Drosophila melanogaster: one gene and its partner. The protein of the gene in region 1 purifies or fractionates together with the protein of each later gene. This does not show direct contact. Each region holds a gene or a part of one and is shown in the gene's direction. Other genes may lie near its edges.

What was found.
Region 2: the proteins of hig (region 1) and side-VI purify together in Drosophila melanogaster (affinity purification with western blotting; one large-scale study listed by BioGRID). This does not show direct contact.

Annotation. Positions count from the first base shown.
Region 1 is NT_033778.4:9,244,191-9,249,482, reverse strand, and holds the start of hig (hikaru genki), read left to right. Parts: upstream 1-2,233; 5' UTR 2,234-2,588; coding exon 2,589-2,718; intron 2,719-5,072; exon of another isoform or gene 5,073-5,151; coding exon of another isoform or gene 5,152-5,292. Other genes in the region: Cyp4p3 (cytochrome P450 4p3), read right to left, coding at 5,152-5,292.
Region 2 is NT_033777.3:10,970,200-10,975,479, forward strand, and holds the start of side-VI (sidestep VI), read left to right. Parts: upstream 1-2,181; 5' UTR 2,182-3,150; intron 3,151-5,280.

The DNA of each region.
Region 1 (5,292 bases):
GTCCTTTAATGGATTTCGCCTCTGACTGCGCGCGAAAATTCATTAAAACTCGATAATTGCATGACAAGACAAGATCCTGGAATTTGGCCATCGGGTGCGAGTCCTTGTTTATCCCTGGGCTCGCTATCTGGCAAATGGCATTAAGAACCAGTTGATTTACTTGCGATTGTTTTCCGCTTGGTGCACTGAGCAAAATAAGGAGCATAACATATTATCGAAGAGATCGATGTTAAGAAATCTCAGAATATTTATTGTATATTTGAATATCTAAAACCTGAATTACAACTTAAAGAATATATTATTTTGACATATGTTCAAAACAACAAGGAATTTATTTAAAGCAATAATTTCATTAAAACGAAGAGGAGATTATTTCATTTAAAACAATTGGATGTGTAGTTATTAAATCAGCTGCCAACCAAGCTGGCCAAAGTAAATATTCCTTTTGCGTGACTTACTATGCATATTGTATTATTCATTCTACCGAAATGAGGATTCGGTAAGCCATGTATTTGTTGCATCTGCCCATCGCACAGCCAGTAAGTAATTGTCTTGATTAAATAATTTAATCTGCTAAATGCAGGCATTTTAATCTAGAAAAGCTGCGACCATGTCAGGTGCACGCACTTCATTGGCACCCAGGAAATCATTGGTTATTAGCCTTCGGCCCGTCGGCATCGAATTGAGTTGGAATACCAGAGATGTAATTTCAGCCTGCGGTTGCAGGGCAGCAAATTGAATTTTGCTGTAAAGCCGCTCGTTGCCAGGAGGCAGGATAAACATGCTAAACGTATAAATTTTCAGCCTGATTGCATTCCAAAGTTTCGGGCCACTAGGACGGCATGCCAGAAACTATACACAAAAGATAATGCCGCTGCACAATTGGATTGCCAGCTGAGGGGGAGAATGCAGCACACAAACATTCATTTTCCACTCGACTGGAGTTGAGCGCGTTTCGCATTCGCATTCGCATTTGGTATTTCGCATTTCAGCAAAATTTCAATGCGACAGACAAGAGCGACCCAGACGGTATTGTTACGGTTACGCTTTAGGACCAGGACTAACCTGAACCTCCAATGAGTGACATTTATCTTGCGAGGACAACAAGGGGCGTCCTGTCGGAGCATTCATTTGCGTAATTAGTGGCCAAGTGGCATCCGCAACCTGGTTGCCAAATGCCAAATGCCATTTGGCTTCGGTCGCAGAGCAGAGGCCTCAAAATCACCGCAACTGCTGCTTGATTATTGGCCAGGACCAAAAGGAATGGCCAGCAGACAGGCGACGTCAGCACAATTGATAGCATACTTCTCAGGGCAGCGGCAGCTGAGGAGCAGCAAAGGTGAGTCCCTTGCCGAGCACTTGGCTCCACTGCACTCCTTAGCCACAATAGAATGTACCCACTTTGAATTTGTAGTAAACACGGAAGCACACTTTTGAATTTATAAACATATAATTAGCTACAAAAAAATTGCATTTAGTTGCTAAGCTTACCGCCAAGTAAAAATCATAAAATTTAAACTTTAGCAGTTATTGCCAATGTATCCAAAAATGTAATTCTCATATTTATCTCCTACATACAATATTTCAATTAAATAATTATAGTCGTCTAGTTATTGTACCTTATGTGCTCATGTTTTCGGGCTATATAAATCGCAGTTTTAAGCCAATAACATTTTCAGCAACGATTTCCCCTAGTGAATTAGGAAATAGTAATTGATTTTATGCGATTGATTCACTGCTGCACCAGTAAAAAGTATCTGCCTGAACTAAGGAAGTATAATTAAATTAGTTTTAAACTGGAAAGTAACCGAATCAACGTGGCAAGCAAGCGGAAAACTTCATTTGTAGCTGGGAATTGGCCACGTGGGTGGGCGGTGTTCCTTGGTTGGTTCGGGGGGGAGTGGGAAAAAGGAGAGCTACGTGAGAGTTACAAGGGCACGCACGCAGACACACGGGCACAGCGAAAAGCGAAAGCAGCGAGAGAGGAAAATCGGAGATGACGAAAAACAGCAACAGCAACGGCAATGGCAACAGCGACTAAGCAAAACATGGGCCAAACCAAAACAAAAACACACGATTTGCCGGCAAAATGCACGTGACACATCCTTTGGCGAGCTTCGTCGAGTGCGATCCTTCGTCGAGTGCCGAATGCAGCCGATTGCAGCCGAACGAAGCAGAGCCGAAGCTGCGCAGAATCCAACGAGAGGTATAAAAGCGAGACGCTCGCCGCACTCGTGGCATTCGATTGTCGTCGCTCGAGAGGATAGGTGCCCAGCTTCGAAAAGGATAAAACCCCGCAAAGGACTCTAAGTAAAAGTGAAACTTTAAAGCCAAAGAGCACACACACATACACATACACGCGCACACGTTGCATACAGTTTGGCGCGAGTGTGGGTTACTGCTGGCGGTACGCCAGTGTGTGTGTGTGAGTTGGCCAAGTGGATTTCTATTTTTGGCCCATTAAGAAGTCAACTCGTGAAGTGCAGTGGTGTTAAATTCGTTGCTATTTGAAAGGACTCATCGGGTTGCTTAACAAACGAAAACAAAACAACGCCGAAACTCTGGCAATCGCAATCTGATCCTTGGACATGTGGAGCAGGCAGCGAATGCGCCATAAGCCGCTTTGGGCCCTAATATCCTTGACCGTTTTGCTGCTGGTCCTGGACAAAAGCAATGCCAACACGGAGCCCGTCGAGACCAGCACCACATCCGAGCCAGGTGAGTCCTAATTGCCCCGCACACACGTGGGCTCCTCCGTTTGACCTTCACTCACTGGACGGACGAAAAGCGTAAATAAATTATGACGGGCCGCCTCGAACTCGGTCACTTTATTAAATGGCCTTCCACGCATCCATGGAAATCGGACAGTTCACAGCTTCCAGCTCCCAGCGATTATCACACACGCTCGAACAAAAAGGATATAAATCCGGAGTAGAAATGAATTCGTAACCGGGAGGGGAAGCTACAGAGCGCAAGAGCAAATAACTGGCAGCAAATGAAATATTTCACGGCATCTGCGGCACAAAGGCAATCAAAGCGAGCCGAGAGCCCATGGGCAACCTTAATCCCAATCAGAGTCAACAAACAAGCAAGGGCATCGCGAAAACGGGGCACTGCGGAAAATATTTGGCAACAAATTTTTAGGTTGCTTTTCATATTAAATTATAAAAGACATGCTTATAAGGTGCAAGGATAATGGCTTTTATTATGAATCATTCAAAGCAAGACATCATGAAGTCTTTAAAGTTAGTTTTCAAACGCAATCACAAACATTATTTTTCAGTAAGAATAAAGAAAAACATGATTGTCATGTATGACAAATCGAAATAAATTTTCGTATAGCATTCACATAAATATTTAAAATCATTATGTATTTCACACCTTGTAAAATAATTATTTAACCTTTATTTCGAGCGTATTATGATAATTTATTAGGTAAGAATTTAATGATAAATTTAGTTATTTTTGATCAAATATATTTTCAATTACATATGTATATTTATACATTATAAATTATGATTACTGAACATTTTGAACATGTGAAATCATTAATAAGGCGCAAACTTAATGCATACTTTTGATTGTTAGACCTTTGCTCCTAAATCTCAACGAAACTTAATTCCGCTGGCAGTCACCAATAATTTCTCTCAGTGCACTAGGGGAAGGGGAGCTGAAAGGTAGCTCGGGCAAGCGGCAATTGCACGAAAGTCCGTAATGAAGTATGGCAGGCAGGCCGTCCGAGGCTGGTAATAGAAATTAATAGCGTCATGTGTGAGTTTTGCGAAAGGGAAGGAAGACTTTGGACGGGGGAATGGGTGGATGTGGGGTACAAGGGACAAGGGAAGTGGGAAAAAGGATACAGGGGAAGTGTAAAGTGCCCGACAGCGACACGCAGATGCGCATAAAGTAATTAATTCACTCTGCCTCCATCGGCATCGCCATCGCCATCGCCATCCCTCCAGTCGGTTGCCTTCTAATTTCCCCTGGCAAATCGACAGGACCAGCTGTTGAGCTGCTGAGCTTTTGGGGTTTCGTCCTTCAGTCAGGCAAAAGTGCGTCGCACTTATCTTCTTTTTTTTTCTTTTGTGGCGGATATTGCGACTTCTTATTTCGCCTTTTGGTGCGCAGTTTGGCAGTCAGTCAGGTGAGAGGGGTGCCGATTCTTAGATTTTCTGAGATCCAAACGTTCGCTTGACACATGTGAAAGCGAGGGAAATTTAATTTACATGACTCACAAATGGAATCCATTTAATGTTGACTTATGGCGACGAAGCACTAGCGCACAGAGCACTAATGAAATATGCAGTAGCCGAGTAGCAGCTAAAACCAGAGCTGCCTTTCACCCATTTCCATGTGCTGTCCCATAAATCCTGGGTCCCCAGGATGGATGATGATGTTGGAACGAGTTGGGCGCACACTAAAAAATATGCGTTTACGATAATTATTTTCAATAGTAGAGTAGTAGTAAGCCACATATAAAAGAGAAGCTAACTAAAAATATCCCTTCGAAACATGATATAAATATTTCATAAAATAAATAGGAAGCCAAAGATAGATGGAACTTATTTCAGTGCACCACACACAGTGCATTTTGCGAGCCCATGGTCACCCATGTCTTTTTGCCACATTTTATGTGCTTAGAACAAAGCTGAGTCTGCATTATGCATGCAAATGGTATAACTGAGTAACGAACTGTCAAAATCGCAGTTAAAGCAAAAAGGAGTCGTTGGGAAAGGGATGTAGCCTCGGCAGGAGGAGGAAAACCAAATGACAAAAAGTCGCCAGCGCATTATGCATTTGCATTCCCATATATGTGAGCTAAAGGACAGAGATTACTTGACTTTTCCTGGGCTGCCTCAAAAATAATAGGAGGGGTAGGAAATGACAGGGAGCTCCCACTGTGTGGGAAATGGGAGTTGGAATTGTAATAGCTGCTGGAAAAGAAGAAGAGAAGTGCTTCTACCCGCCAGGGCATGAATGATTTATAGGGCGGCAGCTGTCGAGATGCCAACGATTATCGGCCATAAGCTAGTCACAGGACATTTTTGCACCAAGAGAAAGAAGAAAGGAGTCTTTGGATGAAACTATTGTTCACTGTGCACTTTATGACTAACAGAGTTCCGTGAACAATTCCATTCCGTTAAAGCTGCCTCATTTTCTTCTCACGAGCTTCACGTGAATCTGGTTCTTGGTCCGCAGTGTTAGTCCAGTTTGAAAAACAATAGTTTTCGGATCGATTTCTGGTAGAATTTGGAACTGCTTCAGTAGGGCCACCATTAGGGTTTTCATCTC
Region 2 (5,280 bases), on another chromosome or scaffold:
GCCAGGGAAAAGGGGTTAAGGGTTTTTTAAACTTGCTACTCATTTCGGATTGGGGTAGTTGGAAATAATACTGCATTATTACTTATACTTAAAAGAAATCAACAAATTAAAATTAATAAATGATAAAATGATTATAAGATATAAGGAAACTGAAACAATACATCTATTGCAAAATCTAAAATACAACAACTAATGGGTATCAAATCGGCCATTCCTGATTAGTTTTAGACTGATTCTGGTGCAGCTGCTCTCGTTGCTGCCGCCTGATGAAATGCCATGCTTGGCGGTTGAGCGTTGAGATTTTGTAGGAACAGAAGACCGACAATCTACACCACACACGAAACTGCATGTGTGTGTGAGTGTCGTCCTGGGCTTTTGATTATGTGTGTGTGAGTGATGGAATTTTGCAGTTTTAGTTAATGTTTAGCCAGCGCTATTTTGGCCCAAAGAATGTCGCGTGGAGGAGCCAAATACTTTGACAACATCACCAGTTACATTTTCTATATGTGCACACTATATATATATATGGGGAAAGTAAGGAAAAAGAGTCCGCGAGTGTGTGTGTGTGTGTGTGTGTGCTGACGAAAGTGGTTTAGTGCTATCTTCATTTCGGCATTGGATTTGCCATTAGAGTTTGGCCAAGCGTGTAAATGAAATTTGATAAGATTAGGCTGTGCAATTGTTGCAGTGCTACCCATGTGTCCCATTCTTCATCCTTTGAGTGGATCGCCTTGCAAAGCGAGAGCTTTCCTTGAGTGGTATAAGAGTGAAACCGTTGGAAATTTTGAAAAAATCCCATTCATGCCAAGCAAAAGTTTTCGCGTTCCACAATTCATTCGGTTTTTTTTTTGCTGGTTTCGGGCGCATGTCTGGCGAAACCACGCTTTCGAAATCGAAAAGAGAGCCAGAGAAAGCCGAGAGAAAGTTCAGAGAAAGCGTGAGAGATGCGAGCTTCGGGTCTCGTGGTCCCATGTCAACTTACATGCTTACACCCCATTGTAGTAGAGTTTTTTTTGTAAGCGGTGTGATGCGTGATTTTGATGGTGGTGTAGGTTAAGTTGTAGCGGTGCCATTTTTTAGCCTACACCTTGAGGAAATCAATCAGGAAATTCTGATTAATTAATCACTCAGCTGGGCTTACATTTTGGGTTTAATAAGTAGGACATTAGAGTTTCTTAAAACGATGCCAGAACCCGGAAATGGTTCTATTGGTCTTTTATTCACCTATACGGACTTTATATATTTAATTGGGTTTATAGTCTTACTGCATGAACTTTAGCCAAACATTAGTGAAGTATTCATTGTAATCTGTGATCCTTGACTGGCTGCCTTGACCAGCGAAACTGCAGTAAGTGCGAGATGCTCTTGGTAACCGCTTTCTGAAACTCTCATTCATCTAGGTAGATGCGATTTTGAAGAGAGGCAGACATCGTGAGTTCGATGGAAACGCAAAAGAGAGGGAAAGCAAAAGGTTCCACAGGAATGCGTGGTGGAATATGTTTTTAGAAGGTTCGCAAGGGCAAAAGGGTGTTGAGGTAGGACTGGACACCCACGGCAGGGGGGAAGGGAAGTGGAAAGTCGCAAATAAATCATGATCGGGATTTCATATTGATATACTTCCATCATCATGGCAGCATATTCAAAAATATTGGTTCAAAAAACAATAAAAACATTTGGGATCCTTTCAAGTAAGGTATAAGATGATTTTTAATACAAGATATAGTCAACAAGGTGAATACTTTTCATAACTTTTAGTATTATTATCAATAGATAAAAATAAGAAGTGATTTATTTTTTCATTCACAAACATCTTTTTTATCTTTTGCCCCTGGTAGTTTATATTTCGTTTTTAAAACTTGACAATTCAAGTTCATGAAGCGTTTGAGGTAAGCTTACCTACCACTTGGCTTCCACAGATTGACAACCAAGACGACTTTTGGATTTTACAACCAAAACTCTTATACTCTGGCCCTTGCCAGCCGTTCTGGCTTTCGAAATCGAATCGGCGGCAAGTGTTGGCCCACTTACAAGGCTCACACACACACACACACAGGGAAACCCAAAGGATTCGACTGTTCGGCAAAGTCGAAAATGCGCGACCCGAGCGAAAGCCGAAGGATCCGAATCGTGGAGGGCGATGGCAAAAGTGGCCAAAGCCACGAATGAATGGCCAGGCGCTTTAGTACTGAAAAGGTCGTGGATTTGTGTAGTTGTCGTGCTCCGTTGCCGCCGTTTGTCGTTCTCGTTTTCGTTGTCGTGTTGTCGTTGTCGTTGTCGCTGTCGTACGGGCGGCATCGCATCGCATCGCATCGCCTCACATCGCGTAGCCGCAGTGTTGACCGTCCGCATCCGCAAACTGGCGAACGAAGCAATTGGGCTGGAAATCAAGAAACAAGTGCCACCCAACCTAGTCAAAAGTATATATCTCAATCGGTTATCGCAATTGTTGAATGCTGAATATACAACAACCAAATAAAAATAGAAAAACGTCAAGCGAGACGAGAGTGCACGTGCTAGAAGTAGAAGTAGAAACATCTCAAACGCCTGCGTTAAGTTTCTGAATGTGTTGTTATGCAAATCGCGTCCTTTTTGGCTTGAGGCAACAATACAGTGAGTGTATGTGAGTGAGTGCGATTGGGAGCGTGTATGTGTGTGCCGCAGTTACAGTGTACGACTATATATATGTGCGCTTGTGTACGCGCCCACAATGCATAAATCAAAATACACATTATTGAGCCATAAATAAAGTTCGCATCGGCTGCTACTTTAAATATTGGCCTCGCGGCTGGCGGCGATTCGAAGACGAGAAAGTTAGCAGCAGAAGCAAAGCAAAAGCAAGGCCGACGAAATCGAAATTTATGCCTCGCACCCGCCAAATACTTTGCCATATTTTTTGCTCAATTGCCTGCCGCTGCTCCTCCAACTCCTTCAGCTCCTTTTCATATGATGTGTGTGCGTCTCGCTGGCTGCATAAAAACTCGCTTAATGCCAACACGCCCTCTACAGGAGCAATAAGCAATAAGCACAGCAGCAGCAACAACTCCATTTCCTCCTAACCCCTGAGGGCTGATTTTATTACAAAGGCCGTAAAAAACGCCAAAAAGCGGAGTAAACGCCACAGCAAAAGGATACAATACGGCCGAAACAGGGGTAAGTGCATGTGGGAAGTAAATATCTACCAAAATAAACGTACATATACTTTTGTACCGACAAACCTAATCTTCAGACGAAAGTGAGCGCTCAAAAGTATGCTAAGAATAATAATGCAGGCCATTGTGCTAAGAAGGTTGAAGCATTAAAAATAGAAACATTTATTCTATTCAGCTTGGAGGTATGTGGAAATGTAATGGTATTAAAGTGAAAACAATTCCACACAAAAGGCCTGAATACAAGAAATAAATTCAGTGCTTAATTCAGTGCAGTCTTCTTGTAATAATAATTCGGAATTGAATGAAAATAAAGAGTTTTATTGGAAACAAATCTAAGACGGTGTAGGAAAATTGGAGGATTTAAATATCTTTTAGGAATTTCATTCCTAATTCCCTAATATTAAAGAATCATTTTGTTGTCAACGAATGGCAGCAAAATATTGTATCAAAAAATGGTAAAACAATTATGGAAAACCAAACGCTTGTTACGTTACTTATTAGTTAAAGGAATTTTAAATCTTTTCAAAGCTGTTGAACACAACTTGTGCTTTCTTAAATTCTTCAGCTGCGAATAAATTTTTTATAATCATTTGTCAGACTTTGCTGGTATAAAGCTTTATAAGTTTAGTCATCAGTATTGCTGAAATTCCCTGCTGATCTCTTTGAAGGCACAACGCCAAAGTGGGTCACACAGATGAGTGGAACTTACAATTTGTCTGCGATTGTGTCAGGGATAATATTTCCCATTGCCTTTGATCATTTTGTTGATGCCGGGGTGTCAGTTAGTCAGTCTGAGAAGTGCGTTAGTCTATCCCGAGGAGACATAAGCCATGGAAATCATATTAAAATGCTGTCTGTGCATAACCTACTTTTTATTTCTATATACATACATATATGGCAAGCAGAGTAGTATACAACTCAGTGAGTCTCGCACCCGGTTGCATTGTGGACTGGCTGGCTGGTAACATTCGTATTCGCATTCGCACATATATTGTTGCCATTTCACTTTTGCTGAGCACGTCTTCGCATGTGGATGTGGATGTGAATGTGAATGTGAATGTGGATATGGGTAAGGGTATATGTGTGGCTATGGGTATGGGTGTTGGCAAGGCTGCAGGCTCTTGCCAAATGCGCTTTGTTGCCGCCATTGTCAACATGGCCAGAAACGAGGAGCGGCAGCAGGAAATTTTTGCATTTTTCGGCTCAGTCAACGCAACGTGGCTTGGCAACAGGCCAGGGATGCATCAGGGGTGGGGAGCTATCTCAGATCTGATTTTCTGCAGAGCTTAAATTATTAAAAGCCTGGTCCAAAAGTTAAGGCTTCTTCTCGCATAAATCAAGCTGGCCAGGGGACAACCTGGCGTATGCGCAACTTTAATAACATGAGCAGCAGCTGCAAAAGTTTCGCCTGTCAGGGGGAGCAAGTTTAATGCAGCATGTAAATATTGTCATGACACACGAAAACTTTCACTGGCCCTTTGTTGACAGGCTCTTGAGGACAACGGCTGAAAGGATGCGAGTTGGTGTGTGTAGACAGACGAGATTTATGAGCACAAATGGAAGACGAAGCGTGTGACTCGCATAAAGCTCGGAGTGAAAAGTTTCACAATTAATTTTAATAGTTAATAGCGGAACTATCCAAGATGAATTTTGGGACATCCGATATAAGCAGCAGGTTGCTGGGAACAGCGGAAAATAAATATATATATATATACATAAGCAGAATAAACATTTTCCTAATATTGAATTATTTTTACGTTACACTTTAACCCTAACAAAATTACATATGAAAAAACCAGATTTAAATGTATTAACTAATATATGGGCCATTCAAATGAAAACATGATAATATATTGTAGTTTTGTTTTACCTTTCGAAGAAAAGGGCCATAAAAAAGTGAATTTAATAGGAATCGATTACATAGTTTGTCAGATTTAAAAAATACAAATTAAAGACTGAATCACAGTACATTTTTAAAGGTTTTATTTGTATGAAAGAATTGGGTTTTGGAGAAACCAAAAAAGAAAACCAATGGGTACATTACAGGAGCCCACAAATCGCGATATCAAATGACCTGAGGTGTACTAATTAAAACCATTTTTAAATTAAACAACGCTGAGGAATATCACGT